Linked DNA regions of Oreochromis niloticus. The protein of the gene in region 4 interacts with the protein of the main gene of each other region in a pairwise test. Links are inferred from orthologs where the notes say so. Each region holds a gene or a part of one and is shown on either strand. Other genes may lie near its edges.

The links.
Region 1: the proteins of tex11 (region 4) and necab2 interact in binary tests that used the Homo sapiens proteins (3 or more experiments, as listed by UniProt). The two-hybrid records come from large-scale screens. The link is inferred for Oreochromis niloticus from reciprocal best matches to the Homo sapiens genes TEX11 and NECAB2.
Region 2: the proteins of tex11 (region 4) and snx7 interact in binary tests that used the Homo sapiens proteins (3 or more experiments, as listed by UniProt). The two-hybrid records come from large-scale screens. The link is inferred for Oreochromis niloticus from reciprocal best matches to the Homo sapiens genes TEX11 and SNX7.
Region 3: the proteins of tex11 (region 4) and mad1l1 interact in a two-hybrid assay, tested with the Homo sapiens proteins (2 studies listed by BioGRID and IntAct). The two-hybrid records come from large-scale screens. The link is inferred for Oreochromis niloticus from reciprocal best matches to the Homo sapiens genes TEX11 and MAD1L1.

The regions. Positions count from the first base shown.
Region 1 is NC_031972.2:7,361,203-7,369,158, reverse strand, and holds the start of necab2 (N-terminal EF-hand calcium-binding protein 2), read left to right. Parts: upstream 1-4,941; 5' UTR 4,942-4,997; coding exon 4,998-5,324; intron 5,325-7,956. Other genes in the region: hydrocephalus-inducing protein, read left to right, coding at 1,477-1,508, 1,663-1,827, 2,109-2,253, 2,410-2,583, 2,676-2,897, 3,082-3,192. UniProt on the Homo sapiens protein: May act as a signaling scaffold protein that senses intracellular calcium.
Region 2 is NC_031974.2:33,800,823-33,808,474, reverse strand, and holds the start of snx7 (sorting nexin-7), read left to right. Parts: upstream 1-4,649; 5' UTR 4,650-4,945; coding exon 4,946-5,029; intron 5,030-7,652. UniProt on the Homo sapiens protein: Involved in the regulation of endocytosis and in several stages of intracellular trafficking. Together with SNX4, involved in autophagosome assembly by regulating trafficking and recycling of phospholipid scramblase ATG9A.
Region 3 is NC_031971.2:11,904,244-11,912,137, forward strand, and holds the start of mad1l1 (mitotic spindle assembly checkpoint protein MAD1), read right to left. Parts: upstream 3,001-7,894; 5' UTR 2,845-3,000; intron 2,344-2,844; 5' UTR 2,343-2,343; coding exon 2,199-2,342; intron 2,099-2,198; coding exon 1,958-2,098; intron 1,884-1,957; coding exon 1,704-1,883; intron 1,608-1,703; coding exon 1,483-1,607; intron 1,360-1,482; coding exon 1,278-1,359; intron 274-1,277; coding exon 143-273; intron 1-142. UniProt on the Homo sapiens protein: Component of the spindle-assembly checkpoint that prevents the onset of anaphase until all chromosomes are properly aligned at the metaphase plate.
Region 4 is NC_031966.2:20,005,691-20,013,037, reverse strand, and holds the start of tex11 (testis-expressed protein 11), read left to right. Parts: upstream 1-4,331; 5' UTR 4,332-4,591; coding exon 4,592-4,619; intron 4,620-4,816; exon of another isoform or gene 4,817-4,959; intron 4,960-5,748; coding exon 5,749-5,861; intron 5,862-6,164; coding exon 6,165-6,249; intron 6,250-6,731; coding exon 6,732-6,811; intron 6,812-6,894; coding exon 6,895-6,975; intron 6,976-7,083; coding exon 7,084-7,203; intron 7,204-7,347. UniProt on the Homo sapiens protein: Regulator of crossing-over during meiosis. Involved in initiation and/or maintenance of chromosome synapsis and formation of crossovers.

The DNA.
Region 1 (7,956 bases), on a different chromosome or scaffold from region 4:
TACAGATACTGTAATCATGTAGTCAAAAGTCTAATCGGGAGTACGTTTTCACAGAGTTTCACAAAGTTTCATACACTTCCTTTAAAACAGAAAGAGAAAAGTTCAAACGAATTCTGAATATTGACAGTACTACTATAACAAAGTAGGACTTGCTATAAATGCCATATGCTATATTATAAGCAAGAATGATTAATGTTAGCTCTGTATATCATATAGTCTTAATTTATTTCATGTAAAACTACCAGGATGTCAAAGCCCAGCCAGAAGAGAGGTACTTTGGAGCTGTAGTCCAACGCTGCCATTCAGGAAGAAGAATGCTATGATGAATACTGGTGACGCTGGTGCCCAGTAAGATTAGACAGCAGTGACAAACACATCTTCACTCAGAAACATCAATATTGTGTTACTGCAGTTATCAGAATGCTTCACATATTATAGCTGCAGTTATTCTGCCTGTTTGCTTTTTTTCTTTAACAGGTTTAAGTGGAAAACAGAGGATTTTCCTGCAGTTATTCATCATGCCAGCTAATGGATATATCTATCCAGGAGTGGAGGTTCCCTTTCCAAGCGACTTTTGCCTCTGTGGAGCTGAGTAATGGCACAAAATATGAGAATCTTAGTTGCCTTGTGGAGGGTTCTTCTTCGCCTGTCACCCTCACTGTCACTGGCTCCTGCATCATGGCCTACACTAGCAAAGAGGTTTGACTCTGTTTTCTTCACCATTCTGCACTGTAATTGTGCCAAAGGGAAAAGGACAGTGTTGAGTAATATGAGAAAAACAATAACATATATGCTGTTTTGAGTTGATGATGATTTTAAGCTTTTTACAGTCAACAAAGCTAAAAGATTAGTTATCTGGGTATTGATTTTGAGGCTTTTCCAGAGGGAATAAAATCTAAAAGGTGCCTTGTCAGCACTGTGACTCCTTGACTCATTGTAGGAATGGTTAGAGGCCAGCATCAGGTAATGAAAGACATTGATTTGGCTCATTTGGAACAGGCAGCAGCTGCTGACAGATTTAAGGATTTGTAAAAACTATTAGTCAGTTTCAATTAGCTGAGTACTTCTGAGAAAATGCTTTAGGAAATTTCTCATGTTATGTTATCTTGAGAATGAGTTACAGATAATTTAATTTTATCATAAATGCAAAGATTCATTTCTGTGTTTGGGATAAAACCCTATGCTTGATCAGATTTCTCTTGCTGACAACATCCAATGTAGCAAGATGATATAATGACCTTGAAAGTATAACCTTTGTAACATTGATCAAGTAATTGTTGTCACCCTGTCTCTGTGTCCAGGTGGTGAGCTCTGTGTGTCCAGTTCGTGGCTCCCACACACAGACCCTGTCTGTCCTCAGCCCCACAATCCAGTGTTGCACCATCAAACCTGTCATTGAGGGCAAGCATTGGAGTTCTCCACTCTTTGTGACCTTCAAGCCGCGCCAGAACTGCATTCCCAATAACCTCCCGATCTATGACCGTGACTGCTCCTGGAAAAAACACCAGGTAGAAGAGCCACCATCTAAATACAATCTATTATTTATTTGAAAAACTGGGTATATTTAATACTTTTTAATATTGAAAAGGTTACAGATAATAAAACTATCTATGTAACTATAACAATTTAATTAATCTCTGTTTATCCTTTCTCTTGCCTCAGGGATCTGCCTTTTTTTGCCTTTCCCGATGGGACAGGTGTGCTGTACACCTTGCAGGGAGCTGCTGATCCTCCTGTGGCAGGGGACACTCTTGTGCATGAGCTACCTGCTAAAACTCTCCACACACTGTTGCTCCCTGTGCACAACTGGCTCTCTAGGCAACAAAGGTAAACACTTAGTCGGGAACTATATACACTTGAGCTGCTCTTAAGTGATATGTCTCTCCTTAGCAGCTAAATCACCAACTAGTTTCAACTGTGTTGTCTAAACTGAGATGACACAAAATTTTACATTTTGAAATTTTCTACTAGAAAGTAAGAAGTAAAGTGTAGGAAATGATCCCAGTTAAGCAAAGCTTTTTTTGTGCTAATATGGAAATCTATAGTTCCTGGCAAATTATGCAACAGATGTATAACAGAGCAATGAGTGTACTCATCTGTGTTGTCAGGTTCCTTGTGTGTCTAGAGACAGTGAAGCCTGACAAGCCAGATGCTACAGTGTCCCTCAAGGAAATCAAGTTTATTGATGTCCCTGCCCATGCTAAGAGGGACTACGAGTGTTTTGTTTTGTTTTGTTTTTTACATACACAGAGGGTAACACCACGGTTTACTCAAGCATACACATCCAGACTTGGATGACTATTTTTTTTTTTAGCCTTGTTCTCACATCATCCTTTTATCTTTATCCTTGGGTGACATTCATTAATGATGAGACAGGCGAGTATTTGTTCTACCTCGTTATCTTCAAAGGCAACATCTCCAGGAGTCCTGTCCACCATCAAGCTGGGGACACCTGTTCGTCAGGTGGCCTCGGCCACTATTCAAGTAGAGAACCCTCTGACCCAGACAGCCTGCCTCACTAAGGAGTGTAAATGTCTTGGCATCATCGTCCAACCTCAGCACAGTGTGCCAGGACAGTCCAAGGTAGATAATGAGTACATCTGCCATCACATTAAAAAAACTGTGTGGCCACAGACAGACTCTTGCTGGCATATGTGTGTGTCTTTTCTTTACAGGTTTTTTTGACTGTTCATTACATGCCTCTTCATCCAGGCGAGTCTACTGCCCGTCTAACTTTGTTCAGCAATGAGCTGGGCCACTTCCACTACGATCTGCTTCTCAGAGCTCTGCCCCCACCACCAGAGAAATCTGTGGACAATACTTTGCTGGGCAGCAGCCACTCTGTCACTGTAATGTTTAACAACTACTCACGCTTCAAAACCGAGTACTGCTGCAAGGTAAAAAGTGGCAAAACAAATAGCCCTTTCTTTCCTTTTTGTACATTTATTCTAGCAACAGTACTTTACATGTGGTCAGTGTCAGCATTCATCACCGAGGCTTCCTTCTCATCTGCTCTCTATAATTCGTCAACACAAAAAGTTGATTTACTTGCAAACACCTTGTGTTATCTCTGTCCTCCAGACTGACCGTCCGGCCTTTATTGTAGACAAGAATGTCAGCACATTACCAGGTTTCCCTTCGGGCTCAAAGGCCAGCATGGAGGTCCGTTTCAAGCCTTATCAGCTGGGGTAAATAAGAGGCCAGCTAAGCCTGTCTTCAGTAATTGGTGGTGAATACATCTTTCCCCTACTCAAACCTCAAGGCCCGTTCAGCATCAAAGCCGGTGGGAACGTCATTATCCTCTTCAAGAATGTGTTCCTGCAGACCACCACTTTCTCTCTTCTGGTAAAGAGCAAGTAGAATTTACAAAAGTCGGCACTATAAGACAATCAGAACAAAGAGTGAAAGTTAAAAATGTCTTATCAACATAGCTGACAATGATTACAACATTCTAAAACAAACACCCTGCAGGCAGCCAATACTCTTATTAAAAATAGGGATGCTTTACTAAGGCTCATTTCCTTTAAATATTTGCACTGGGTTCATTGCCAGCCAACACGGAGCAAGATGATTTAAATTTAGCCTGGAACAGATTGCAGTGTGCAGAGTGGTGCAACCTGGCTTATGTTTAGACAAATTGTACTCCTGCTTGTATTAAACGCAGCTTTCACATCTTCAGCATCTATAAAATGTTTCTATTCAATTTATGTTTCATTTAAACATGTCTCTTATTCAGATTTGACGTAACTTGAACCCTGCTCATGTCTAGGTTGACAACTCCCATTTTACTGTCAATGGAGGGGGCAACATTCAATCCAAAGAGACCCCGAAAATCCTGGTGTCATTTGAGGTTCCTTCAGACGGCTCTCCAGGACCATGGTTAGGCAGCTAGATCATCTCCAGTCGGCACTCCGAAGGCCACAGGAGGCCATACTCACGCGTCTATTATCTGAAGGGTCTTCAGTTATCTTAGAGACATGTGCAGACACAGAGAGATTGACTATAGATGTAAACATGAATGCACTTAAGAAATTAGGCCTTCATTGCTGGATGTTCGTATGTTTCAGTTGCATGTTTTGTTATTTTTCTGTAGCCTGTTAGCCATTTAATTGCCAAAATGTTCAAGCCAGAATGTGTTGTGTATTTGTGTGATTTAAATAAGTGGCTGTCACGAATCTGTTGGTAAATATTTAATAATGAACTCAATACATCCTGCATATAAGACTTGCCCAGGCACGTCACTGCACATGTTTTACCACATGGGGGCAATCGTGTCAAGTGATTGACCCTTTCTTATGTTCCAGCGATGGGGCAAGATGTATAACACGCCTGACTTTACTTCCTTGTGGTAATCGCGATAACCTGTTTGTTAACTTTGCATCGTGACTGAATTCATCCAGAATGCTCTGCGTGCTGTTAAACACATGGTACATTACGGGGAAGACAACAGTACAGCGGAAAGGGCAAAGCTGGGGGAGTCGCTCATTACCAAAGGTTAGAGCTCTCACATAACACTGATCCTCTAATGACTCCTTTTTACTCCATGTGGAAAATCCTCTGATCCACCCATTGCCACACATGACTGCTGGCCCACACCTCCTGTTGTCACTGTGGAAGGAATAAACTGTGCCACGGTCTCCAGTCAGATTCGGATAGTTCAAAGTGATCTGCAACTTTGCTATTTTACAACACCATGAAAAAATAGTCATGTGTTTTTACACTGTAGTAAGAAAAGTATTAGCACTGAAGGCGAGACATTTTAGCACTTAGAAATATGAAAGCGTTGATAACAACACTGAAATAAAAAGTGCAATAAACTCACTTAAATCTCCAAAGCTGTTAAATATCTGCCTACAAGCACGTATGGGTAGATAGGGCTCTGTAGGGTGGGTGGGTGTGATTTGGGGTGGGTGCTGTGATGTAAGAGGGGAGCTGGGGTGGGGGTGGGGGTTCTCTCTCCCCCATAGAGCGCAGCATGAGCGCTCCGCAGCAAAAGGATGTGTGAGCAGGCAGCGCGCTACTGTAGGGACGGAGTCCACAAACTGCTGAACAAAGAACAAGCCAAACTTCGAGCCCAAGAAAGCCGCGAGCAGCCGAAACCCGTAGCCGGTCAGGACAGCGAGTCCGCAACGGCAGCGCAGTCCGGAAACAGCGGCGCCCAGCCCGGTGGAATCGACGGGCTCGTCCGCTGGATCGTCACCAAAATGAGCGACAACAAGAACATCTCCAGCCGGGAGTACGCCTCCAGTAAGGAGGAGGTGGCCGTGGCTCAGGAGCAGTTCTTCGCTCCGGAACCGCGGAGAGGCATCTCCGTTATTTTGGATGTGAGTATAGAAATGCACCGGGTTGGCAGGTGCAGGGCGGGTGGGTGCTCGGGATGAAGACATCCAGTGAACAGCGCGTACGGACCGGTGCAGTGCGCACTTACGCGCAGATACTCGTGGCTTGGTAGAGTAGGCGGAAGATTTGACACTTTGGTGATGAATGTGGAAGCCCGGGAGCAGCCTCAACGCGCTGAGCTCAGTTTCCATATCTTTTCTGAATGACCCATCCAAAAGATTCACTGTACTTTTATTGCATCTTATTAAGCAATATTCTCTTATGCGTCTTTGTTCACTTCTTCATCACCAATAAAAGTCACGCATTTATAGTCGAGAGGCAGCTTTACTTTTACTCCTGGCTTTACTGTCAGTCCAACGTGCAGTAGCTACGCTCACACCAATTTTATGACTGCTATTTAATTATTCATGAGAAGGTCTTACTACCATATTGTTATTGATCCATTCCTTACAGCCACTGCTTAGTATTCTCACTCCCGATGTAATGTCTTTCTGTTATCAGACAGCTGATAACGGAGCAGCCTTCCTGCATTAAAAGTGGCACTTAGCGCAGTGCTGATTTGGGTCAACTCATCAATACTATTGGGTTACTTTTCATCTTGGCCGCTCTAAATGTTTCCCCAGGAGATCTGCTGATGCTGCTTTATTAGGGTAAAAAACAAAAGAGAAAGTAGTTCAGCTTCTGCAAAATCTGACCCAGACCTAAATAATCTGATAGGGTGGTAAAGAAGGGGGTCCATGGAAAACTAATTATGATCAAAACCACTGCACCAATGTATCCTAGTACCCTAGTAAACTCATTCTGTCTGTGTTTGTGTGTAAAGGATGTTGTAAGGGGTGTAGCCTAGTTTGCTGCGTCGTTGAGCCAAGCAACTGTCCGCTAAGACAGATGTTACAGTAAAAGTGTTTGTAAGTGAACAAGCAAACAAAAAAACTGTGCTGCACTCATATCTATATTTGAGGAGAGGTTCGTTGTCATTGTATATGCATGTATGTGTTCATATTTTCATTTTCTGATTAAAGGTCCTGGATTGCTTCATTTTTTGTGGTGTTTTTTCACCCTCTCACTCCCTGTTAGAAATCTGCCATACTCTCTCAGAGTGGCTGACTTCCTGATATCAGCTGTGAACTCATTCTGGTATTTTCTCTTGAGCCCTCTGCAACGTCTTCAACTTTGAAATGTTAATCGTTTCTTCATTTTCCAATATTATTGACTCCAGCGTTATTATTGTGGTGAACAAGTCGAGACCAAAGAGGTTTGAGTGATTGCTCTGCACGTGCGCATGTGCCCGCGGGCAGCGCTTCCCTCATTAGATCCTCAGCCTGCTTGTTTTTCCTTTACTGTTCAAGTCTTCGCCTGCATCATAACCCCACTGTACCTTTCTCGCTATTCATTAAATTCCTTTCATCCTTTGTCTCTTCCTTTTCCTTCCCTTCTCTCCTCACCTAATTTCCTCCATATCCTTTTTGCCCTCCCCCCTGCCCAGAAACATACATTCTTAATAAGGTTAGAGATGGATGCAACACTCTCCTCTGCCTCTGTCTTCTTTTTCTATTTTGCCGGATCTTCTCTCCTCTGCTGTCGCTCGTTTTCTTCTCACTCTGTGTTTCTGTTACGATTCTTTACAAAAACACACACACACACACGCGCACGCACACACCGCCTCTTCATCGCAACACTTTGCCTCCTCTCCAGGCTTGTTTGTTTCCAGTAGCTCCAGAGTTGGCTCTTTTCTGTTGAGTTGAGTGCACCCCAGGGTGCAGCCGGAAAGCAGAACAATGCAGAGCAGCTTGTCATTTGGAACGCCACTCGTCTCAGCAGTTAATGATTTTCTCTTTGGCCTGTTGAGATGGCTGCAGTTGCTGTGTGAATGCACCACTTATTTAGAGTTTAACATGCCTCCTGCTCATAAGTGCAAGAATCTATATATCAGTTTGTGCACTAAAAAGTGCGACCTTTCCTCAAGTTTTCAAATTGCATTCATGATTATTGACCACACTATTTAGATTACTTTGAAATTAAGGCTGCAACTAACTGTAAATTCATTATTTGTTCTGTTATGTCTACAAATCATTTAATGGATTGATTAGCATTTGTATATTTCTAACTAATGTAAGCAAATATGCTAAATATGATAAGGAAAAGCCTAAAATCCTCACATTATGGCACCAGGAAACAGAACGGCTGTCATTTTTTGCTTCAAAAAATAGCCAGACCATGAAGAAATCAAAATGGTTGCTCATCCATTTTAATACATTCCGATTTAAACAGTGAAATTTTTCTTTTGACATTTACACAAAGCGTTATTGAGGAAAGTATGAAGTAAGTCTAGAACTTTCCTGGCAGTTGCAAAGGTTATTGCAGAAGACCATTTATAAATATTTCTGCAGTTCTGTTCTCAAATGTGGTTAAAATAAATATGTCTACTTCACACATTCAAATGCCATCCACATAATCTGTGGTGTAAATTAAGATTAAACATGGCCAAAATTTCAAATCATGAGGTCAGATTATGGGCAACTAATCACTGTAATCCAAAAGCCAGGCTTCAGATCTCCCTGAAAACTCAGTTTCTTCTACTCCCGGGTCCATATGATATCAGTGAGAGCTTCCATC
Region 2 (7,652 bases), on a different chromosome or scaffold from region 4:
ATCAGTGCGTAGAAGTGTCTTCCTGCACATTCCTGGCGTCATGGTAACATGAAGCCAGCATTCTTTATTTGAATACAATATCAGCAGTAACACTGTAAAAATGCCCAAGTGCTTCAAATAAAATACAAATAATCTGAAGTATATTTATTCGTAATGGAAGAAGGAACAAAGAATTTCTTTGTAGTGAAGCAAAACTGTGAGTTTAAAACAATGAAAACTTTCTAGTGAACTCCACTGCAATCAACCTATTTTGCATATACACAGCATCATCATTGTGGTGTGCAGTGTTGGATCTGGGATTAAAGCACTCAGCGTACGTCTTCAGCTTCTGTGTTGGTCGAATACCTCTGGATACCTTCTCTACTTTTAATATTAGGCTGCAAGCTTTACATTTCAATAAAGCTCATAGTTGGTGCTGGATCAGGTAAAACTGTCATCACTCATTGCTGGCTCTTTGGTTCATTGATCCAGTTCAACACAGGGCTGTGCGTGGCTTTCCATTTACTTCTCCATCTGCTCAGAAAGCTGGTAGATCACAACCAGGAAGTGTGAGCAACTATGATGAGGTTGAAGAGTGGAGATGACACACCTGTGGATGGAGATGCCTATGAGAGAGAGCGATGGACTGTTTAACTCATGCATGGAGAGAGTTTGCACAGGTGTTCCCCTGCCAGTAGGAGGTTCTCTAACATGGATGGGTGGGAGTAGATTGCCTGTGGCCCACTTCCCCCAGTAGATCATGCTCTCGTCCCATTGATTGCACTCGCTAGCTCCCTTCTTGTGAAGGCCACATGCCCGAGCAGAGACTCTAAGGTTATGGATTCCCTGCTGGCTAGGCTACACAGGGCCATGTCAACTCCCTCCCCCTTGACTTTTCTTCGGTCCAAGCCAGCCAGCCCTCTTCCCTCTCTGCCTTGCAGTGCAAGGCAGCTTGGTCTGCTCTGGGGCCAGAGCCTTGGTTTTAATTTACCATGACCCAGGGCGACCACCTGCAGTTTCTCCGCAGACCCTGCCGTCATGACCATCCCAAACTTTACGATCCAGCATCGACCAGAGCTCAGCCACTCTCCCCAGTAGTTCCCCAGACGAGGCTGATCAGCAGCAGGTGTGTGCCATCATCCTCCTCTGGTGTGACCGGCCTCCCAGCGGAACACACTCACCTGCGAGGACCGCTAGCCCAAGGCAAACCCATCAAAAATATTCAAGTTCATAAACACTCATGAACCCTGGGTCACCAGACCCAGGCCCATGACACTCGGCTCTCCGGGGGAAATGTGCAATATGGGAGGTGGATGCTGGGGACCACCAAGCTGGGCTCTTCTCACACTATCTTTTGGTTCCCAAGAAGGATGCAGGACTGGGGACTCTGCCTGATTTTGGATCTCAGGGGCCTCAACCACTATCTTCAGGGGGCACTGTTGATTCCTAAGGTTCGGGTTTGAGGGGAAGTTGTTTGAGTTCCGAGTCCTCCCCTTCTGCATCTGTCTTGCACCCCGGACCTTTACACGGTGCATGGATGCCGTCCTTGCTCCTATAAGGCTGAGAGGCTTGAGGGTCCTGAACTACTTTTCGCAATTCACAGCCCCCAGTTTCCCTTTGGGACTTGGACCTGGTCCTCAGCACCCTCATCCTCCTTTTAAGCTGCTGGAGGACGCTGAACTGAAATAGCTCTCCCTCAAATAGCCATTTTGCTGGCTATAACCTCTGCCAGAAGGATTATTGAACTCCATGCTCTGTCAGTCCACAGGGATTGCTGCAGGTGGTTGTCGGACGGGAAAGGGGTGGTCCTCCAGCCCAACCCTGCATTCCTACTGAAGGCCCTGTCTGAATTCCACCTGTTCCATTCAGGTGAGCTTCAAACAGCTCCCACTGAGAGGTTGGCCCAGGAGGCAGCACAGCACCAGGCTGCCTTGTGCTCTGGCCATGCTTTGGCAGTGTAGTCAGTACCCGGCCGTCCATTCAGGGATCCTGGGCTGACAGCTGTCTAGGGCCTGGTTGTCCCACTAGATCGTGGATGCCATTTGGGAGACATATGCCTCTTCGGGGTCTCCCTTCCCTTCTGGAGTGCGGGCCCACTCTACCCGGAGGGGTGGCCACATAGTGGGCCTCAGCCATTTGTGCGGTGGCAACATGGTCATCTGCATCAGACTTCCCTAGGTTTAACAAGCCAGGCCCTCTGTCGGGGAGCAGGTCCTGCCTCTTAGTGGTAGGTGTATAAGGGATCATTTGTGCCAAAAGCAGTCAGTATACTAAATAATGAGATGCTGTGACATATATTGTTATATTGAAGTTTAATTGTTGTATTAAAGTTTTGTATATTAAAACTTATATTTCATTGTGTTATTTATTATATATATTTATGTTATTTGTGTTGGTTGGTATGAAGTAACTTGATTGCTTTATGACTTAGTGAATTGAAGACAATTTTCCATTGATGTGAATAACAAAGTTATTCTATTCTAGTCCTCTAGTCAGGGCTGCTATGAAGGATGGTTTGGAGATGGTGGCTCTGACAGAAAGACAGGAGGCCAGCTGACAATGTTCATGTCTTCATGGGGTTTAAGCAGCATGGACATGACTAGTGTAAAGAACACACGGCAGACCTGTCCACACATTCATGCTATTCAGCATCTTGCTTTTATTCACTGGTTGCTGTTCACACGTGGCTGCGGCTTCCCAGTCACCAGCCAAACATACACACCAACAGCAACAATTCTCAGGACCCAGTACAGATTTTAAAGCCGGCAAGGTGTGATTGCAGATTCCGCACTGGTGCGTCCGCCTCCCTCGCAGCGGCACCTCAGACCACGCCCCGCCACAACTAGAAATGAATACAAGAGCTGAGGCTGAGTGCTTTGGAGACAAAGTTAGAGAGGCAAGGCTGAGGTGGTTTGGACATGTGCAGGGGACGGACAGTGGGTATGTTGGACAAAGGATGATGAAAATGGTTCTGCCAGGCAGGAGGAAAAGAGGAAAACCTCAGAGAGGTTCATGGATCTAGTGAAGACATGCAGAGGGTTGGTGTAAAACAGAAGAAGATGGTATAGAATGAGATGTGGGGACTACTAAAGGGAGCAGCTGAAAGAAGTGGTCACAGATAACAGATGACTCTGGCTCTTCCTGTAGAGTGCTATTGTGTCTCTACACAGACTCCAGGGATGGACACGGTTCTGGTCCTCTTCTTGCCCACAGCCCAGTTAGTCTTTACCAGGGTAACCTGCAGATGCTTCTGCTTGTATCACGTAACAGAGTAGACTGCAGCAGTCCTGCAGAAAGGTGATATTTGGATATTGTGGTCAGTTTTTCTGTACCCTTAAATTGTGTAGCGAAAGTAGACAGTAAAGGGGAAAATCGAATCACAAAGAAAAAAAAAAATTGCAGAGAAACTTATTTTTCATTGGGAATAAATGAAGATTCTCTCACATTCAAAAGGAAAAAAACAACTCTTTGTGCATGAGTTCCTTTTCTTCTTTCAGGCACAGCGTTTGCTGTAAAGTGTAGGGAAGGTGACTGCGTGAGCGTGCAGTGGTGGTCCAGCCTGAGGTGTGACACACTGTTGCACAGCCTATGCAACACTGACATCTTTTGGTGCTGGTGGGGCTGACTGTCAGTGCAGCCTGTGTGCCAGCCACACTCCCCTAAATAAACACACAGTTTGCCCGTTTGTTGACAAGATTGCAGGTAAGAGAAAGTCCGCTCAGACAAATATGCAGGAAATACAACTGTGTTCTGGGTGTAGTGGGGTGGCTGAAAATCAAATAAATTTTCACTGGTTCCTAAACACTGGATCCATAGTTCATAGATGACATATCATAGTTAAAGGCAGGCACGGGAATATCAGGAGGAGTGGGGGGTCTAACAGTATATCAGAGCTCACAACCTTTCTTCAACAGAATGATGACTTGAAATACATTTTGAAGCTAAGGCTTCTATATTGTTACTTATGTAGAGTCATGGATGCAGAATTTACAGTAGTAATTGTTCTTTCATAAACTGTATAAGATTCATATGTGTATGCACTTCAAAATAAATCTTTAAAAATGTTTAAAAATCCATGTGAATGAAAATATAAATGGTATGAAAGTGTAAAAAAGGCTAAATGCACAGAGACACATAAGCAAAGAAGACGTCATACAAATCAGGAGGCAAAGAGAAAACCACACTCTCTCTCTCTGGAAGACACGTGACAGCCCTGAACTTTATTATCATTATCATTATTATTATTACTATTATTATTATCACTTTATACAAATTGTCTTGTTTACCCATTCATACAAGCCATCAAAGAAGAACTCGGGGTTAGTATCTTGCCCAGGGATATTTGGCATGCAGACTGGAGCAGTCAGGGATCAAACAAACAGGTTGCTGTCAGTATTTTTCTTTCCTAGTTTTAAATTTGAGTTCACTGGAATAAATAAGAATAAAAGGCTAAAACGATACTGCAGTGTTGCAAAACTAACTTGAATCAAACACATTATGGGACAACGTTTTTATGCTTTGACTTTGTTGGATCTGTTAAGCTTAACATTTAATAATACATGATAAATAGCACATATGTTATCATAATAGGAAAAACAAACTTTAAAACAAACAAACAGAAAATATAAAATGAAAAGAAAAATTAAAATGACTTAAAAATAAAAACACAGAACTCCAGTGGTCCTGTTCAGACACGTTTCTGGCTTTCCTTGTGATATGAGGCAACACATGTACACTCAGCATTTTGGCCGAAAAACACGAACTCTAGCCAACACTCAACTTTACTGTGAACAACAAAGACGCATAACGAGAACACAGCTTCCGGGCCAAGTCAAACGTGACTGATCGCAGCTTTTACTTTGAAATCCGTTACAGGAAGTGGCATCCTCGGCGGGCCTCTGAGTGCGGCTGCTGTGTGGAGTTGAGGTGGAAGTTTGTGTTTAGTAAGTCTCCGGAGCTGAGAGCGATGAGCGGGCACACGGTCCCTGCAGACTTCTCAGAACACATGCTGGACCTGGACGAGGACGAGGACCTGGAGGTTTTCACCAAGGTAACTCCCACAGCCGCGGGACTGCGCTTCCAACCGCTGCTCAAGTTTACTCTTTCCGAAGATTCACCGCGCACACTCACACATACACTCGTCGGGTCGAGGGGCAGCTCTTCGGTGCGTGTTTGCGCAGGCGCAAGAGCTGAGGAACTCGAGCTTGAAACATAAAAGATGAAAGGTGCGGCTGCTGAAAGTTTCCACTGTCATGTTGTCATCAGGTTAAAGAGTAACAGACCTGTGGAGCCGGCTTTACGCGACTGAAGAAAACTTTTTTGATACTTCTCTCAAAATGTCGAGTTAGAATCTCAGACTTGACAGATAATAACTAAAAACACAGAAACTATCTTGAAATTTAGATTTAGAAGTCGAAGCTTTCAGATAGCTTCACTTGGCTCTGTCTGTGTGGAAGCCTGCGAGTTCACTTCATTCATGCGTGCAGACTTCCGTGCTCAGTCATGTGACGATCACTCTCTAAAAGTGTGTGATCGTCCACGGCGACACATAAAGTGCGCTCACTGTTAAAAATTCACTTGCATGATTGGAGGAAATCTCAGGTCCAGGGAAGCAGCAGGTTCCATCTTCACTTACAGTCTGTGTACGCTCAGCAGTCACGTGATCGAGGCCTCCCAGGTGTGTGTTTTCTGACGATCAGCTGAGGTTTTAAGATTTAGTGCTGCTGTGTGATGACTGCATCATGTTATTCTCACAGCCATGAGAGTCTGAGCGGCAAGTCTGAAAGAAGTTCTATAATAACTCTTAGTTATTGTGTTTGCAGCTCTCTGTTTGTAGATTTCATTTCAAATAAGCTTGAAGCAAGATGTGTGTGGCGGTCTGTGCTCAGGTGGTCTGTGCTCAGGTGGTCTGTGCTCAGGTGGTCTGTGCTCAGGTGGTCTGTGCTCAGGTGGTCTGTGCTCAGGTAAACAGGGCTGTTGTGTAGTTGTGATGAAATCCATAGTAATAGTAGAACTCACTGCAGCTGTGCTGTGACAGTGATAGTGCTGTGCAGACAACAGTCTGTACTCGAACCTCGATTCATTGTACTAACCAGGCTCCAAAACAGTGAGACACTGTGTAATCTGTAAATAAAAACCACATTTGAACATCTCATACATCCACAGTTTATTCACAAGAAAACATAAACAACATAACAGATGTTTAAACTGGGAAATTTTTTCTCAGGGCCCAGGGGCGGATCTAGGGGGGTGTTTTGCATATGACAGTGTTGTTTATTGAAATAAGATAGCATTAACACTTTGAGCCTAGCGACAGTTAACACTGAATATATTACATAGTGTTCCCCCCATCATTAACAAATGGTTCAGCCCACAGCGCAGACCTGCTTTATTTCTTGTTGTCAGTAGCAACCGATGCCTATGATTGTGCCAGAGCACATTTTGAATCAACACCATGGGCATCTCAGATTTCACACAGGTGGTTGGTTGTTGCACTGTGGAATGAAGGTGAGAGTTATTAACTTTCAGCCCGTGTTGAAAGTTCGGACTTCAAAGTAAACATCGGTTTTTAAATTTTAATGACAGGCCACTAAATCCAGAGTTATGGTTAAAAAAAATATATAAGCGATGCTTTCTGAATGCTATCGTCACGTTTGTGTGGGAAGAAACGCTAAAAAAGGCATTTTCTAAGGATGGCACGAAAACAGTAAAGAAAGGAAAAAAGACACCTCTTTCCTATTGGTGGAAAAATGTACCATGTCGACCAATTTAAAAAAAAAAAAAAAATGGCAACGCGTGGGATTTGGTTTTTTAGGAAGAGGGGAAAGTTTTGGGAGTGACGGCAGCGAGACAGAACGAGAGAGCGAGTTTTTAGATGTGATAGATTTGTGATGTTTAGTGTGGAGTGTGTAGTTAGTGTGTTGTGTAGTCACTGTTTTGTTTGTGTGTCAGTGAGAGTACTAATGAATGTCACAAAGGCAGACTGCAGTGTAAACACTGTCTCCAGGTGGAAAACTGGAGCAGTGATGCACCTGCTGCTGTCAGGCCTGCAGGTTCATCCCTGTGGTGTCTCCTCTGTGTTTTGTTATTATTATTTCTTTTACTGGCACAAATAATTTGTGGGACATCTTATTGTGACACCTGATTGTTCTCTCATTTAAGTTATAGTAGAATTTTTAAATGGTTAGGGGTTAGGGTAAGCCCTGCCAGATGTATTGGCTGCATTTTTAGATATGTTTAAAAAAATTGTTCATAAGTTTTCAACATTGACAATTTAGATTTGCTTTTCAATTTATTAAAATAAGTTACTAAACATGTCTGTGGTTTTTACAGTGAAAAAAACTATAACTACTTCTCGGATTTTATGTTTTTTGTGTGATTTCAGATGAGTTGTGTTACTACAGTATGTCAATGAAAAAAGTGTAAATACAGACACGTGAGGTTGAGCTGAAGAGAATGAGATCAAACAAAGCGAAGCAAAAAAGATAAAATGAAACAATTTGAAGGTGAAATACAAATGTAAAATCAAAACTGGCTGGGTATATTTTGGACCTCAGAGGGTGAACCCAACAAATTATGAAAATTTAGGCTTAATTTTTGTTCACGGTGCAGATTTCTGACATTTTGTGTAAATTAAGCAACAATTTGATTATTTCTAACAAACAAAGTGTGAA
Region 3 (7,894 bases), on a different chromosome or scaffold from region 4:
ACATATTACAAATACCAAAAACACTTGTTAAAGAAAAGAGCTTGTGGTATATGTGTGTGAATTGGAACTTGTGGATTGAAAGGTCCCTGCACTAGAGTGTAATGAGTTTACATGTTAAGGAAACTTCAAAAATGTATTTAACCTGAGGTAGGCATTATCATCTTTGAGGCGCTTCAGCTCCTTTTCCAGATCTGGAACTCTGGCCGCCTCTGACTTTATAGTCTTCACAATGGCAAAGTCTTGCTCCTGGAACGCAAGCCGCCTTTCCAACTCCTGCCAAATTAGAAAGTGAGAAATTCACCAGTAATACAATTTTCAGATTGTATTCACTTTATGGAAACAAATACCTGTAATACACACACACACACACACACACACACACACACACACACACCTACACCTGTATTAATGTAAATATCTAATCAGCCAATCACGTGGCAACGACTCAGCAATCTTTTATTGTCCAAAATTGGACAACAGAAGATTAGAAAAATGTTGCCTGATCGATGTCGAGCTGATCCGAGTGAATACTAATGGAAAAGGGGCTTTAGGACCAACTAAGCATCATTTAAACCTACACCCTACCTGAGGATTGTAGCTGACCATGTCTGTCTCTTTATGAACACAGTGTACCCAACCTCTGATGGCTTCTTCCAGCAAGATAATATGACATGTCACAAGACTCCAAATCATCTCAAACTGGTTTCTTGAACATGACAGTGTACTCCACAGCCCCCAGACCTCAGTCCAACAGACAGACAAATCTGCAGCAACTGTGTGATGCCATCATGTCAATATGAACAAAAATCTGTGAGGCATGTTTCCAACACCTTGTTGAATCTATGCTCTGAAAAATTAAGGCTGTTCTGAAGGTGCTGAAAATGGTATGTTCAATAAGTGTATGTTATGAGGGGAAAAAATACATTTAAACTGATATTATGCAATTTGAAGGAGAGAGGTAGTTTGAACAAAAAAGCTGATATGTAGAAAATTGAACAGATATACTGCACATGATCTTGCCTGCATTGGTTATAAGTCTAAATCGTAATCATATTTAGTAGGTTTACATTTGACGTAGAGTGAGCTGCATAACGCTGTTTAACCACACCATCTACATCAGTGCAAAGATGTACAAACTGCTATTCTTAACTATTTCAACTATTTCCTCTCCATGAACTGTGGACACTGGAATGTTCTGAACTACAGACAAATCCGTACACCATGTAAACTCTGAAGTGAAACCCAAGGAGCCCAATAGAAGCGACAGCATTTCGTACCTTAATCTTGATTATGTGCTCAGAGCATGACGACTGCGCAGCTTGGAGACTCTGGCAAAGTTGAGAGACTTCCTGATACTTCCTGATCATAACAGCAATCAGAGAAAACTGCATGGTCAGCATTTATATTAAGCAGTACAGCTCAATATTTTTTAGCATGAAAAAGAGCAAAGAAGTGTCAGTCCCTGTCTGTGTGTGTGTGTACCTTTGTTGCAAATCTAGCTTTTCCTGTAACTCCTGGTTTTCGAGCGTTTGACCAGAGATTTTTGAGTCTTGGTTTTGAATCTTCTGCCTGAGCTCTCTGATCTCATCCTTCAAAGAGCTGATGGTCTGCAAACCGATAACAGAGGTAATCCAGCATAAGATAAGAGGCACTACCAGACTGGCAAAATAACTGTGCGTGCAAATCTACAAGCATGCGTGCACCTGGTTAGCTGCGCCAAGCTTATCATCTCGTTCCTCCAGTGTCTTGTTTAGACCCTCCAGGTTCATCTGGAGAGCATCATTTGCTTCCTTCTGCTCTGTTAGCTTCTTATTCGCCTCCTCCGCTCTCTCCTCCAGCTTTTTTATTTGTCCCAAAAGCTCCTGGTTCCGATCCACCTCATGCTGCAACATAACAAGGTGGTGAGCTATCTGATGCTTTGTTCATGTGGTATTAAAGGAGTATATATGGCATGTACCTCCAAGTCTCGTGCGCTGTCTGAGGCTGCCTTCTCCAGTTCAAAACGAGCCCGTTTGTGACTCAGCTCCATCTGTTTCTTTTCCTGGTCCAACTGCAGGTAGCGATTCTTGGAGTGAACCCTCTCTGCTGCTTCTAAAAGCTAAAAGAAGGATATGCTAGTAAGTGCGGAGGCTGAATGCTGATGCTATTTTTGTTCAGCTTTTTTGCCCCCTGTTGATGCAAACAGTTTCTGTATGTACCTCCATGCTGCGCTTGTACTGACTCTGCAGGATTCCACTCCCTGCTGAGTGCTCTGACAGCCGCTGTGGATGTTCGGGGCGGCTGATGAAGGAATTGAAGGACTTCAGGGTTGTTAAAATGGTCGTGTCGTCTTCTAAATCCATTCTGGAAGATGCAGCACACAAACGAAAGGCTCACAGTACGAGTAAAAAAAAAAAAAAAAAAAAAAAAAGACTTCACAACGGCCATGTAAAGTTTAGCTAAGTAATTCTAAAGTGCACCATTTTCATGCTTTATAACTTTACGATAAAAATGTTAACAGGTTAATGTTATATGCAGACAGGTGCCTAGCATTAACTACGTAAAAGTGCAAAGTAAGATAAAAGTGGTATTAGCTTCTTTGCTCAGCTGCACAAACACGAAAACAACTTTAGTAGCTTAACCAAAAGCTAATGTTTACGTTAGTTGCCATATTTGGCAATTATCAAGAATTATCTCAAGAAGGTATTCACTGGTTTGTTAAGAACAGTTTAAACTGCTTCACTCCTGTATCACCACAGGCTAGACAAGAGTTCAGTTTACCATGACTGTTTTCTACAGCTATTCCCCCTACGCTACGTTTAAGTAGCAAACAAATGGGTATCGCTTGTAAGAATACGTCCTCACCTCTGAGCCGGCTTGGTTTCTTTATTTTTAAGGAGCGAGTTATTTGCAAATAGGTTATCTCGGTGTTGCTAACGTGTTAGCTGCTCACTAAATACTACAGAAATCCCTCCAGTTTAGCTCGAATGGGATGCACGTAGTATCGCGAGATTTGGTACCATCGCGAGTATCAAAAGCAAACTTTTTTTGTTTGTTTTTATAGGGAAAACGAATAAATCGTGCACTGTTTAATTAAAACCCCGTGTTTCTTTGTTAGTTTGTTTATTGTTTGTTTTTCCCCTCTGATTTCTGGTTTTCTAATAATAAATACAATTATGCTCGGAAAAGCCTGTTAACTCCGGCACCATTCGGGTAGAGCTGTTTTCTTACTATTACTATTAGATAGAATTTTACCATTTGCACAACCTCTGTTATACCACTACTACCCTTAGAGGTCAACCACCTCCACTTTACCATATTTGTAAACCCAGGTTTAATAATAATCTTAGTGCAAATTGCATTAATAAATATGTACACTATACACTATGTAATATGTTTGGGACTACTGTGTTCAGCTATCACATAAATAAAAGTTATTTTGCAGTTTTACAGAGATCGGTAGGAATAATTTCCTGAAGCATTGTTATCTGGTGACAGGGTTTTGGGTCAGTCTGGTGAAGGAGGAGCTTGGCTATGTCAGAAATGTGAGCAGAGTGGGTGTGGTGGGTTTTCCATGATAGAGACAAGTTGTTCAGTGACCTCCTGTCCCTCACTGACTCCAAATTATGGCCAATGATGGTTCCAGCCTTGTGAGTCATTTTATTGATCCCGATCATTATTGTGTCCTGTTAGCCTATGTGTCTGAAACCTCACTCTCCTGCAATTATCACCCTTTTTAACAGCAGATCTTTGTCCAATAAATCATTTGTTCCTAACGATTCCATCACCTCTCACATGTTAGACATTTTCTGTTTCACTGAGACTTGGCTCAAACTAGGGGACTACTGCCCCCTGGTCGAATTGTGTCCACCCTGTTACAAATTCTTGAATGCCTCCAGATCCTCAGGTTGTGTGAGAATGATAGTAGTTTAATTTAAACTGTGTTCCATGTACTCATTTTATTCCATTAAATTATTGTTCTTCAAAATTTAGTGTGAATAGCCACTTTGCTGTTTTGCTATCTACCAGCGTCCCAAATCCTGTGGTGATTTCCTGCATTAATTCAGTTGAGTTCAATTCATTTCAAGAAACATAACTAAAGTGGTGATTGATTGATCAGATAAACAGTGATGTAAACCACATTCACTCTGGGCTATAACACTCTGAATCACACTACGATGATGTATATTAAAGTTGTTCTCTTCTTTTTTACTTTAACAGCTCCCAAATTCTTTTCTGTTCTGTTTTTATTCAGTTTCATAACCCATTTAAAAAAAAGCCAAAACTGTACACGGTGAGCCAATGTTCATATCTAGCCATTTTAAAACATTACTGAAATATAGGCACTCATCCAAGCATATCTCCACAAAGCTGATTCTGAAAAAGGACTCAATAAATGTGACACTCACCGTTTACAAAGGTCCATCATCAGTGAGAAAAGAGGATCTTGCAAAATGAGCAAAATTAATTCAGATAGAATCATTTTATATACTTCAACATCAAACCATTAAAATTGTTATAAATATGTAAAAGGGTAAGTCATACAGTTGCTTCTGAAAATATTTCACTTTGATAAAGTTATTAAAAATGTTTTGTAATGTGCATAAATCTGTGTTTTCATTCTTCCTGCTGAAACTTGTTTATCTTGACTGTAAAAACACCTCTTTCTTCAGTGTCAGGCTGCTCCCTCTGGTTGCTGAAGAGGGTGCTGCTGTGGGCAGGTCACAGTCTGTGGATATGATGTGCTTTTTTCACTGGTCTGCTGTGCCATACATCTTCCAGGGACAATTAATTAGTTGGTATCCACTCGCATCTTTTCCAGGAGTGCTGTGGTCCTGGAAGCTAAGAGACAGCATTGCAGCCAGGTGACAAAAAATAATGACAAGAATTGAATATATATATATATAATATTATATACAATATTAAAATGAATAGTATGCATTATTATTCAGATGACTCTGTACCAGACACACATGATGTATTACTGGTGACAGCATGCGGTATGAAAGAGTTCCTAAATCTTTTCTTAGCAGCAGGGCTGAATCAGCCTGCTAGAGAAGGTCCTTTGCTACCTGTCCAATAAGTGGTGCACAGGGTGCATGCATTATGCATGTTGAACACAGTTTGTTTAGTGACCTCCTCACCACCACAGCTTCAAAAGTGTCCAGTTTGCATCCAATCACAGAGCTATCCTCCCTAATCAGTTTATACAGTCTGTTGGTGTCACCAGCTTCCCTTGCAGACCACAGCAAAGTGCACTGTGCTCGCCACAGCTGACTGATTTTGCTGAACATATTGAAGGATCTCAGCTTCTTTATGAAAAAGAGCCCCTACTTGTGCACTTTCTCTGTGTTAGGCTTGCATTTCAGCCTATGTCAGTGTGGACGCCCAGGTACTCGTACTCCTCCATTAAATCATCCTGCCCCAGAGCAGGCTGCACAGCTGTCGACTTCAGATGGAAGTGAACACTTTATGACCTGTTCTGATTTGGACACTAAAGCTTCCTTCAAAGATCTATTCTCTGTGAATTTATTCTTAGTCACTCTAGTGATATTTATTTCTCGAATCTCACTCATGTTGTTGGACCTAATTAATGCTTTTGTTCTCTGCAGTGACATCACAGACTTTAAAATCTGTCATTTAGTATTTTTTAAAAAATCACCTCATTTTTGGACATTTTCTGGCTGTGAAGTCAAAATGAACCGCTTCAGGCTCTCTCGATAGTCACTTTTTAAAAGGCAATAATCCTCCTCATCCTTATCAACAGGCCAGAAAATAGCTGATAAACATTCCATGTGTTACTCTTTTACATTTACCTAATTAATCAGCGGGTAAATAACAGACCTGAAACAATGCATCAGTGCCAATCATGTTATTTCATGCCTCAAAAATAAAGCACAGCATTGCATTATTGGGTTTTTGTAGATTCAGCCTAATTTATAGACTAAAGAATTTGGCTAGAATGAGCAAAACACTGACCACTTAAAACCAGGTTTATAAATATGCTTATAATGATTTACATGGCATTACTGTTCTTTTGTTAGAAATGACCAAAAAATGATATAGTGTATTTACTTTTGTATCCCATTAGCCCAGCACATGTATGTGCTTGGATTTGTGGGGCCTTACTGGCATAGTTGGTCCAACAGAGGGCAGCACTGCTATATTTATCAGTTTATATTTTACAAAGCATGGTCTTTTGGTGGACACAGAGGTCTGCCTCGGTGTAAAGCCTCGTCTTTGTACAAATAATAAGCTGTGATTGGCTTTGCATTACTAGAACTCACACAAATGTGGGTAGATCTTGATATTGTACTTACATAGCACGCTGATATGGAAATGATGCTTTTTTTTCTCTAGCATAAGGTGTATCACTCACAGGGAGGCACTAATGACACAGCTTTACAGATGGCAGCAGTGCCCCGGACGATGTGAATTACAACCATTTGTGCCACAATGTCAGGGCTAAAAGCATTTTAATCCATGTTTAATTAAATCACCATAAGTCGCCTTGAATGATCCTTCTGATCCAAACAACGGTGATGCTCATTCTTGTGCATCCAGTTTGCATCTTCATTAATACTTCATTTATTCCCATGTGGAAAAATCAACCTCTGCACTTGACAGTCACGGCATAGCAGCTGAGCATCAACTCCAGTTCTGCTTGTGCCGTCTGAGGTCACGGTCAAGGAATTCTTTACGACTGGCCTGCATTCATGCCCTTCATGAGTGAAGTAAAGGAAGTGAGACCTTGGGGGATTTATGTAAGAATATCTACAGCAAAACACAGGCAAGACCTTGAGAGTGCTGATCTCTGTAGTTTCAGAATACATGGATGAAAACGACGCAGACAAGCAGCTCACAGATGGTTGGAACAAGCCACGATGGACGCACAAGAGAATAATGACTTTTATATCTTTACATTCGCCTATGCTGTCATCTACTGACAAAAGAATAAGCTGTAATTACAAAATCACCTCTCCATCACAAGGCTGAGAGCAGAGTAGGAGCACAAGAGGTGAGGCCCGGTGCCCAGTCGATATTTATGTGAGAAAAGAGCTGGAAAACATGAAATAAAAGAGAGGAGGGTCCACGGAGGGATTTTTTGATTTTCTATTTTTTTCTATGTGGGTGAGATTCAAGAGGGATTGAATGAAAGGGTGTGAATTTGTCTGAAAAGGTCAAACAGAAGACAATTCCTCTTCAGAGTGACATAAGAGCTCCCCTTTCTCTCTGTCACTGTCTCTTTCCTTTTCATCCTTTCACCCCCCAAGAGAATTCAGCCTGTTTTGGTCCACTGTCTCTCCCAGCTCCCTCCTTCCCTTCCTCCCTCATCCCTTCCTTTCTTGGTCCTACAATCTCCCCTCTCTCACCGGGTGAGAACACCTTTTTTTTCTCCCCCTCCCCTCCCTCCTCACTGTCTTTTTTTATCTGTCATACTCTGACTCAGTCCCTCCCTGTCTCTCTTGGGTATTCGGTCGCCGTCCTCAGCATCCACCTCCACCTGCCTCGGTCCTGCCGCGGTCGACCCGTGGATGCAGTCTTCCCTGCGAGATGACGCAAATGCACAAATTCAGACTCGTGCACGCGCGCACGGACACACACACACGGCGTACGATGTAAATCAGCAGAAGTGCCCGCAGATGTGCCCTTCGTTGCCATCTGTTGAGAAATGTGATAGGAGTTCACAGGAAGCCGTTTCACATTCAGTGGGGTGTTTTTTCTACCCACAGCTAAACATCAAAACATACACAAATAGTTCAATGTCATGCAAACCGCAAAAGGTTAGGAAGCTGACACCGAGAAAAATCTCTTTCTTGCGTTGTTACCCGATTGGCAGCAATGTCAGCTTTTACAGCTTTGCAGTTAATGACAATGAAAGATATGAACGAGTGTAATTCAAAGAGCCATAAAG
Region 4 (7,347 bases):
TTGTCTCACCGATGTCTTTTAGCTCCATCTAGTGTTGATTGGGAAAAGCGGCACTTAAGAGAAGGTGAGCCTATTGTAAAATAGCAAAAAGGACATTACTGGGAAAGTCTACATCTATAGCAATATTTGTTTCTCTTAATAGGAAACAAAAATGGTTTAATAAATATATTGATACAACAGATTAAGCGGTTTTGTTGAATTCACACACCAAATGAACACTATTTTCTTTATTCTTAACATTTGCCCTTCCAAGATGAGAGAAGCACCTTTTGTGCAAATGTATTCCATGCTGCTGGTTTAAAAAGTTGCTTTCCTCAGCCCCTGAGTTCTCAAAAGGAGATTTACTCAAGAATCAAAGCAACATAGTTGAAGCTTTGGCAGAGGTTTTCTCGGTAATATGTCAGTTATTGTGTTAGAAGTCTCTAGTCCAGAAATTTAGACAGGCAAAAAGAAATCAGTGCTTGTAAGAAAGCAAGAAATCAAAGCTCAAAAATCAAACTGTCTAGATATTCTCCAGACCCATGTCTAAGGTGGTGTTGAGTCAAATGACCTCATATTGCTGTTGAGTCACCCAGGCTACAGATCACGAATGGAAAAACAAAGAGATGGAGAAATAGTTGCTGAATGTCTGGTCAACTCAATGTGAGAGTGAAGTTTTACATATAACAAGGACAAATCAAATCAAGTTTAAGATCATGTTGTTGGGTGGAGTTGGGCTCTATGGGTGCCTTTGTCCTAGATGTCTTTTGCATTATTTTATCAAGACATCTAGAATAAATCCTGACATATCTTTAGAAACTTGGGTTATCAAATGTTTACGGCATGAATTTCTAGTGACTGATCCACGCTATTTGGAATTAGTAAGGCAAGTTAGTTAGATAACTGTAGAAACTAAGCATCACCTTTTAACAGAAAGTATTATTATTCCTCTGTTTTCTGCTCCCTTAAGAAGTCACCACAGCTGATAATCTCCCTTAATCTCACCCTATCCCTACCATGCTCTTATGCATATCCTTCTTCAGTGCATGCATGAATCTTCCTTGTTGTCCTCTTGTTTCATACTTAACAACCTTTGCACACCTAAACAATCTTGCATTAAACACATAGCCCAGTGGAAAAGAAAGCAACCCCCTCCAGCAACTAAATATGTTCACCTGGCCTTCAAACTCTCCAGCTCATAATCAAGCATCCCTGGGATAAGCTGTAATAACCCTGATCCACACAGACCCCACCCTGCAACACACAGGATCCAATTTCCCATTGCCAGCCACTACAGGACGCCCCCACAATTCCCTTGTTCACACTCCAATGGGTCAGAAGTGTTCTGGCAGCATAAGAGCGGTCCTATGCAATATTTTGCAGATGGTTTTACAGTCATGTTGTGATTTCTTAGTATTCCTGTAGTAACTTCTTGAGCTAAATACAATATACTCCCCTAACAGAGACATATGGAAACTTAGGCCTTCATCTTTTCTTTGATTTGAATTGCGTGCATACACATAAAAATGGGAATATTTCAGCTTTTAGAGAGAAAACATTTACTTCAATGAAGAGCGTAAAATATCTAAGTGAGATGTCAGACTTTCATAATGTCATAGTGCTTTTGCCTACCTTAGTACCTTTGAGTATCAAAAAGGTATCAATAAGGGTGGAAGTTTTATTTGGGAAAATGATGAACCTGTCAGAGAGGCACTTTGTTCTTTACACCTGTAAATGGCAGTAAATATGGGAGTCTTTTTAATCCTATTATTAATTTTTTGTGTGATTTGAAACAGAATCATATTCCAATTTGAAAATTGAAAAAGCCTTACTCGACCTCCTCTTTCTGCTTAGCTCTGATTCCCTCTCTTTTCCTGATACCTGTTGCCAGAAAGAAACCAGAAAGTTTTATGTACTTTGACTTACAACTAGATTTTTGGTTTTACACATAAGATAAATTGTTTTCTAACCATAATATCAGAAGGATTTGGCAAGATAATATTACAGTCGCGTGTCCGTCTATGATACCGATGATATTCTCACTATGATACCTGTATTAACAACCACAAGGAGAGACACCTGTACACTGAAAAACAGAACAGGTCTCTGTTCAGGCATTTAGAATTACTGATAAAAAAGATGGATGTGCTTTTGTGGTAACATTACAACTTACAGTCCAAATACCAATTCACTACTTTTTATTTGTTGCCTGGCGAGCTCTCTTTTTCTGTGTCATCCTGATGTCTATATCTACAACAAATAATAAACCCTTAATTTCCCACACTAGTTACTATAAGTACAGGTATTTCAATCTACTTTCCAAGCATGTGATGACTGGAAAATGTCATTTGGCAATAAATGTAAACAAGTGCGCTAAGCCAGCATTACAAGACTTCTTAGATTTACCAAGAAATAAGGGCTTATACTTTTTTTTCCCTTTATGGCCACAATGCCAACAAAGATTGCTGAACTCTGAGTAAATATTGCAGGAGAACCAAAGAGAGTTATGAGAAAATACTTTGTCAGAAAACCTCAGATAACCTGTGAGTATTATATCAACCACAGACTTTATTTAAGAGCTATTGATGCCGACATGAGATCAATATCAGTTAGTGTTGGCAAAGTTAAAACTTAGAGCACGCCCTGTCAAAACATTTAGTTTTCTACAGAACTCCATTATCTGTAAGCAAACACGTGTCTTACTTTGTTTTGTACACTGCTAGCAATTCAGCTTTGCACTGAGCTGACCTTAAAATGACTGAACAATCAAATTTAATATGACTTTACTGCCTTATTTTATGTTCCCAGAAAGCTAAAGCCCTGCATAGCCTGGATCATCTTGTGCTCCAGTAGATGACCCTTCTCTCAAAAGCCCTTGCTGTTTCTTATTTCTGTTTTAATTATTTTTAAATTGAAACACTACATAAACATAAGCCATATACATAAAACACTACACAACACATACATAGACCAAGGTAGATAAGGGGAAAAAAGACAAATAATTTTCAACAAGCAGGGAGCGTTCTAGTAATCAATACAAATTAATTACAAATTTGCAAAAAATTTAAATAAAATAAAAAAATCAGGTCTATAGAGTGCTACATAGTTGACAAAATGTTCTCAGTATGAAACAAATTGTTCTCATTTATACTTAAGAAATGCTGTTATCATATCCATTTTATAAATGCCCATTGTTTTTTCCAGCCTACAACCTTGGGGATCTCCCATAAGTACTTCCTCATCCATTCTGTAAGTATGTACCCAAAATATGCTAACTTTTATGCTAACTAACTTTTCGTAGAAGATATTTAGCTGCTGGAGGGGGTTGCTTTCTTTTGCACAGGGCTATGTGTTTAATACAAGATCTTTTCAAATTCCTATTACCAACCTCTGAGTTATATGCTTTTCTAAACAGTCCTATTAAATAGTGACTTCCACTCACTTTAAACATTTCAAAACGGTGCAGTTTTCCTTCTTTTATTATATTGTATAGAAATCAGAATCATATGCACACAATAAAATCACAACTCAAGGATTTGATAATATAAATGTCTTGCTCTAGTTTATGTTCTTTTATAACACTTTTATGTACCTTAAGAGTCAATTTCACCTAATATTTATATAACCTTGTAAATTGTTATATGATACAATTGGCTGTATGGGAATGGGAGGTATTTTCTTTTTAGTGTTTTTCCATGTGTATTTTATGATGGGCTACACTACTACAAAACAATAATCTCTAAAAGAAGGTAGTCCCAATCTCCCCATTGCAAGTTTTGAGATGAACTGTGGGTCTTGTAGGACCTTGCCCCTTCTAATTCTCTAGCAAATAACTTTCTATAGAAGATGGGGATAAAACAGTAACCAACAGAAACTCTCTTTACTACGGAAGCGTAGAGCTGCCACCCAGGCAAAAGAAAAATAGAAGTATATCACGTTATAACGTGAAAAGTTTATTGTTCTAACAAGATACTTTTCATGTTTGTACAATATACTATCATGTTTGTACAATATACTTTTGACGTTTGAACAATATAATATCACGTTATTACAATATGCATAATTATCACGTTCGTACAATATAAATATCACGTTCGTACAATATAAATATCACGTTCGTACAATATAAATATATTGTACGAACAATATAAATATATTGTACGAACGTGATATTTATGCATATTGTAATAACGTGATATTATATTGTTCAAACGTCAAAAGTATATTGTACAAACATGATAGTATATTGTACAAACATGAAAAGTATCTTGTTAGAACAATAAACTTTTCACGCTATAACGTGATATACTTCTTTTTTTCTTTTGCCTGGGTGGCAGCTCTACGCTTCCGTACTTTACCCCTTTGTTTAATGGTATTTGATTTTTGTCACACCTGCAATTATTATCAAGCTAGTATTAGGAACAGTTTAAGGTAGGCAGAATAATTCCCTCTATTGGAGTAATAGCTCTTTTATATTGCTGTTGTTTTGATATCCTCGCTCTCTTTTTCGCGGGCATTTTTGATAGCCGTCAATCAAATGCCAACATTTCAGTGAGGCGCTAGCTGCTAGCACCTAGCCTGACTGATATTTTTATTCCACAAAAAGTTAAACATGGAGGAACTTACCTCAACTGTGAAAAGTGAGTAACTGACTCGTTCTCTTGACCCACCTATTTATTTATTAAAGTGCTTTTACCAACTGGAGCTGTAGCTTAGTTGTTAATTTAGCTTCCAACCTAGCTAATTCACTAACTGTTAGGTTGCGTCTATTATCTGGATGCACAATAGCTAATAACAGTTTTGTGCCTCTGGTATATTAGCTAAATGTTACTCAAGCCATGGAAGTAATAGTTATTTTTCTAAAAGACAAAGGGAACTAAACAGGCAAAGTCTGAAAATCCCAAAAGCTGTATTATTAAAACTTACTGCTGTTGTGACTGCAGCAAGAAAAAGTTAGCCAGCAGGCTGCCATCTACATTTGTATGTACAAATCTACACCTGGGTAACAATTTGAAACTTTTAAAGCAGTTTTTAATGGAGAGTAAATTCTCTTTATTCAATGGGTAAAAAGGGTACTTGAAGACCTTATGTGTATTTCAAACAGGGTCTTAGAATTTTTAAAGAAACTGCTGTGTTATAGACTTTTTATAAATTTTGTCCAGCCTGTGAAATGCCTGATAATGCAAATGATTAGAGGCATAAAATTGGGGTTCATGTTATCCACTAAATTGCTCATGTTATCTTGGTCACCAGCCACAGTGAATTATTGTTATATTTTACATTATTATAACAAGCTAGCCCCCTAACTTGAAGCTAATATGTAAATGAATACTTTTTTAAAAAAAAATTGCAACTAATTAACCTGATTTGGGATGTATGACTCATATTTCATTTTAGATTATATTCTACCTAGATGAACAATCATTAATAAATGGCTTAATATTTCAGTGCTAATAGCCTAACATTAAGACACAAGAGAATATCTGAATTATTTTTGAAATGAGAAAGGACATCAATGTAGTCAAACTGGATTTTGAGACAGATTTTTAACTTATACAAAAGAATAAGAAAGTGGGGTGCTCTCCATGTCACACACATTATTGTCTTGCACAAACAGTATCTGGTTTTCTTTATAGTGTAGAAAATTCGGATATTCTTATTGCATGAAAAATCAGATGTCACTTTCCACTTCAGAAGACAACGTGTCCTCTGTTACCCTGTTTGTATCCTGTCAACGTCTGTCTTTGTTGACTTTTTTTTAATACACAGGTCTCACTGAGCTCCTGCTGCAAAAGCAGCTAACAGATTATGATGAAGTGATAGAGAAGCTCTTCTCTGAAGTCCCTGGACTTGAGGCTATGCCCAAAATACCAGATCCGCAGGTAGACAAAAACATGTCAGCTTGTTTAACTATACGCCACAAGTCAGTAGTGATGTAAAGTTATAGTATAACAATAAAAACAAAAAATAAAATAAAATGGAGAATTAACAAAATAGTTATGGAAGAAATTTTTTACACCGCTAATATTCTTGTTTAATAGAGCTGAATTAATCTGACCTACTACAAGTTATATGACTGCTGCAACGGTTCCATGAAGTTTAAAGACTGCAATTTAATGTAATATTGTTAATACTCATATGCAAGAAGCTGGCATAATTTTATTTTTTTGTTGTCTTGTTTACAGCTGGAGGAGTGTGCCATCAAGCTGTGGAACTGGGGAGTTACTAAGAATGTGGGTGTCACAATAAGTACAATTCAAAAAGCCCAAGGTAAATTTGTATTTGTATTGTTCCACCCCTCATTTTTTGTATTTTGCTAGGAAAATACGAAATAGATACAGAAATGCATTTAAACATGCAAATGTGCATGGAAATATATAAGACAAAAACAGTCTGTACTATTCTAACAAGTTTCAAAGTTAATATTTGGTATGAGCACCTTTATTGTTCAACCCATCGTAAATTTTAAAGGTTTCTTGTAATTTCTTTAAGTAGTCTTAAGGAATAGTTCTCCAGGCTTCTTGAAGGAGATTCAAAGCTCTTCTTTGGAAGTTGGCTGCCTTTTTTCAGTTCTCTGTCAAGATGATCCCACTTTGATCTCATTTTGACTTTAATAATATTGAGGTCTGGACTCTGAGCAGGCCAGTCCAAGACTGATAGTGTTCCACTGTGCATTTTTCTATGCTTTACTGCAGTGGCAGTATTTTGGGATCTTCTCTCCTCACATTCAAATAATCTTACTATGCTTACAGTGCGTCATGTTGCATGCAGTCTGTTGTACTGCTGTGAGCCTGAGAACCCAACAGAGGGCACCATTCGCAAGCAGATTCTGGTAAGCAGTACTGAAGGCAGCCTCTGTGAGTGCCCAATGTTTCTGGAGGACAAGGCATGTTTGTCAGTGTCTAATCTTTACAGATGGCCAGCAAAACAGGGAGAACCTGGCTGGACTGCAAAAATCCCCAGATGGCAGATAAATACTTAAGCCTTGCTGTCAAGGTGAAGAAGAAAATAACACTCATACTGATAGTCTCTTAATTCTGTGTAGGTTTGAAGCAAAGACAAATACCATGTTTTTAGAAATGACTCAAAATCTAATATCCCCAGAGCCTTGAAATCCTCTATAGCCAACTGATGTCCAGAGGCAATGGCACAGCTGACATCAGTTCATCCAAGGAGGATGTGGAGAAGGATCTACTTCGAATTCTCTCATACCAAGCAGAATCGGTGAGCTGTGGCGCATGTGATGTTCGACACCTTCGATGTGAATATTTGTTCTTGTGATATTTGGCAGCTTAGGAAGTGCCATTCTGACAGACTTGCAGTGTGAAGTGTGAGACAGCTAAAATGTGAACTGAGAAACAATGAGAG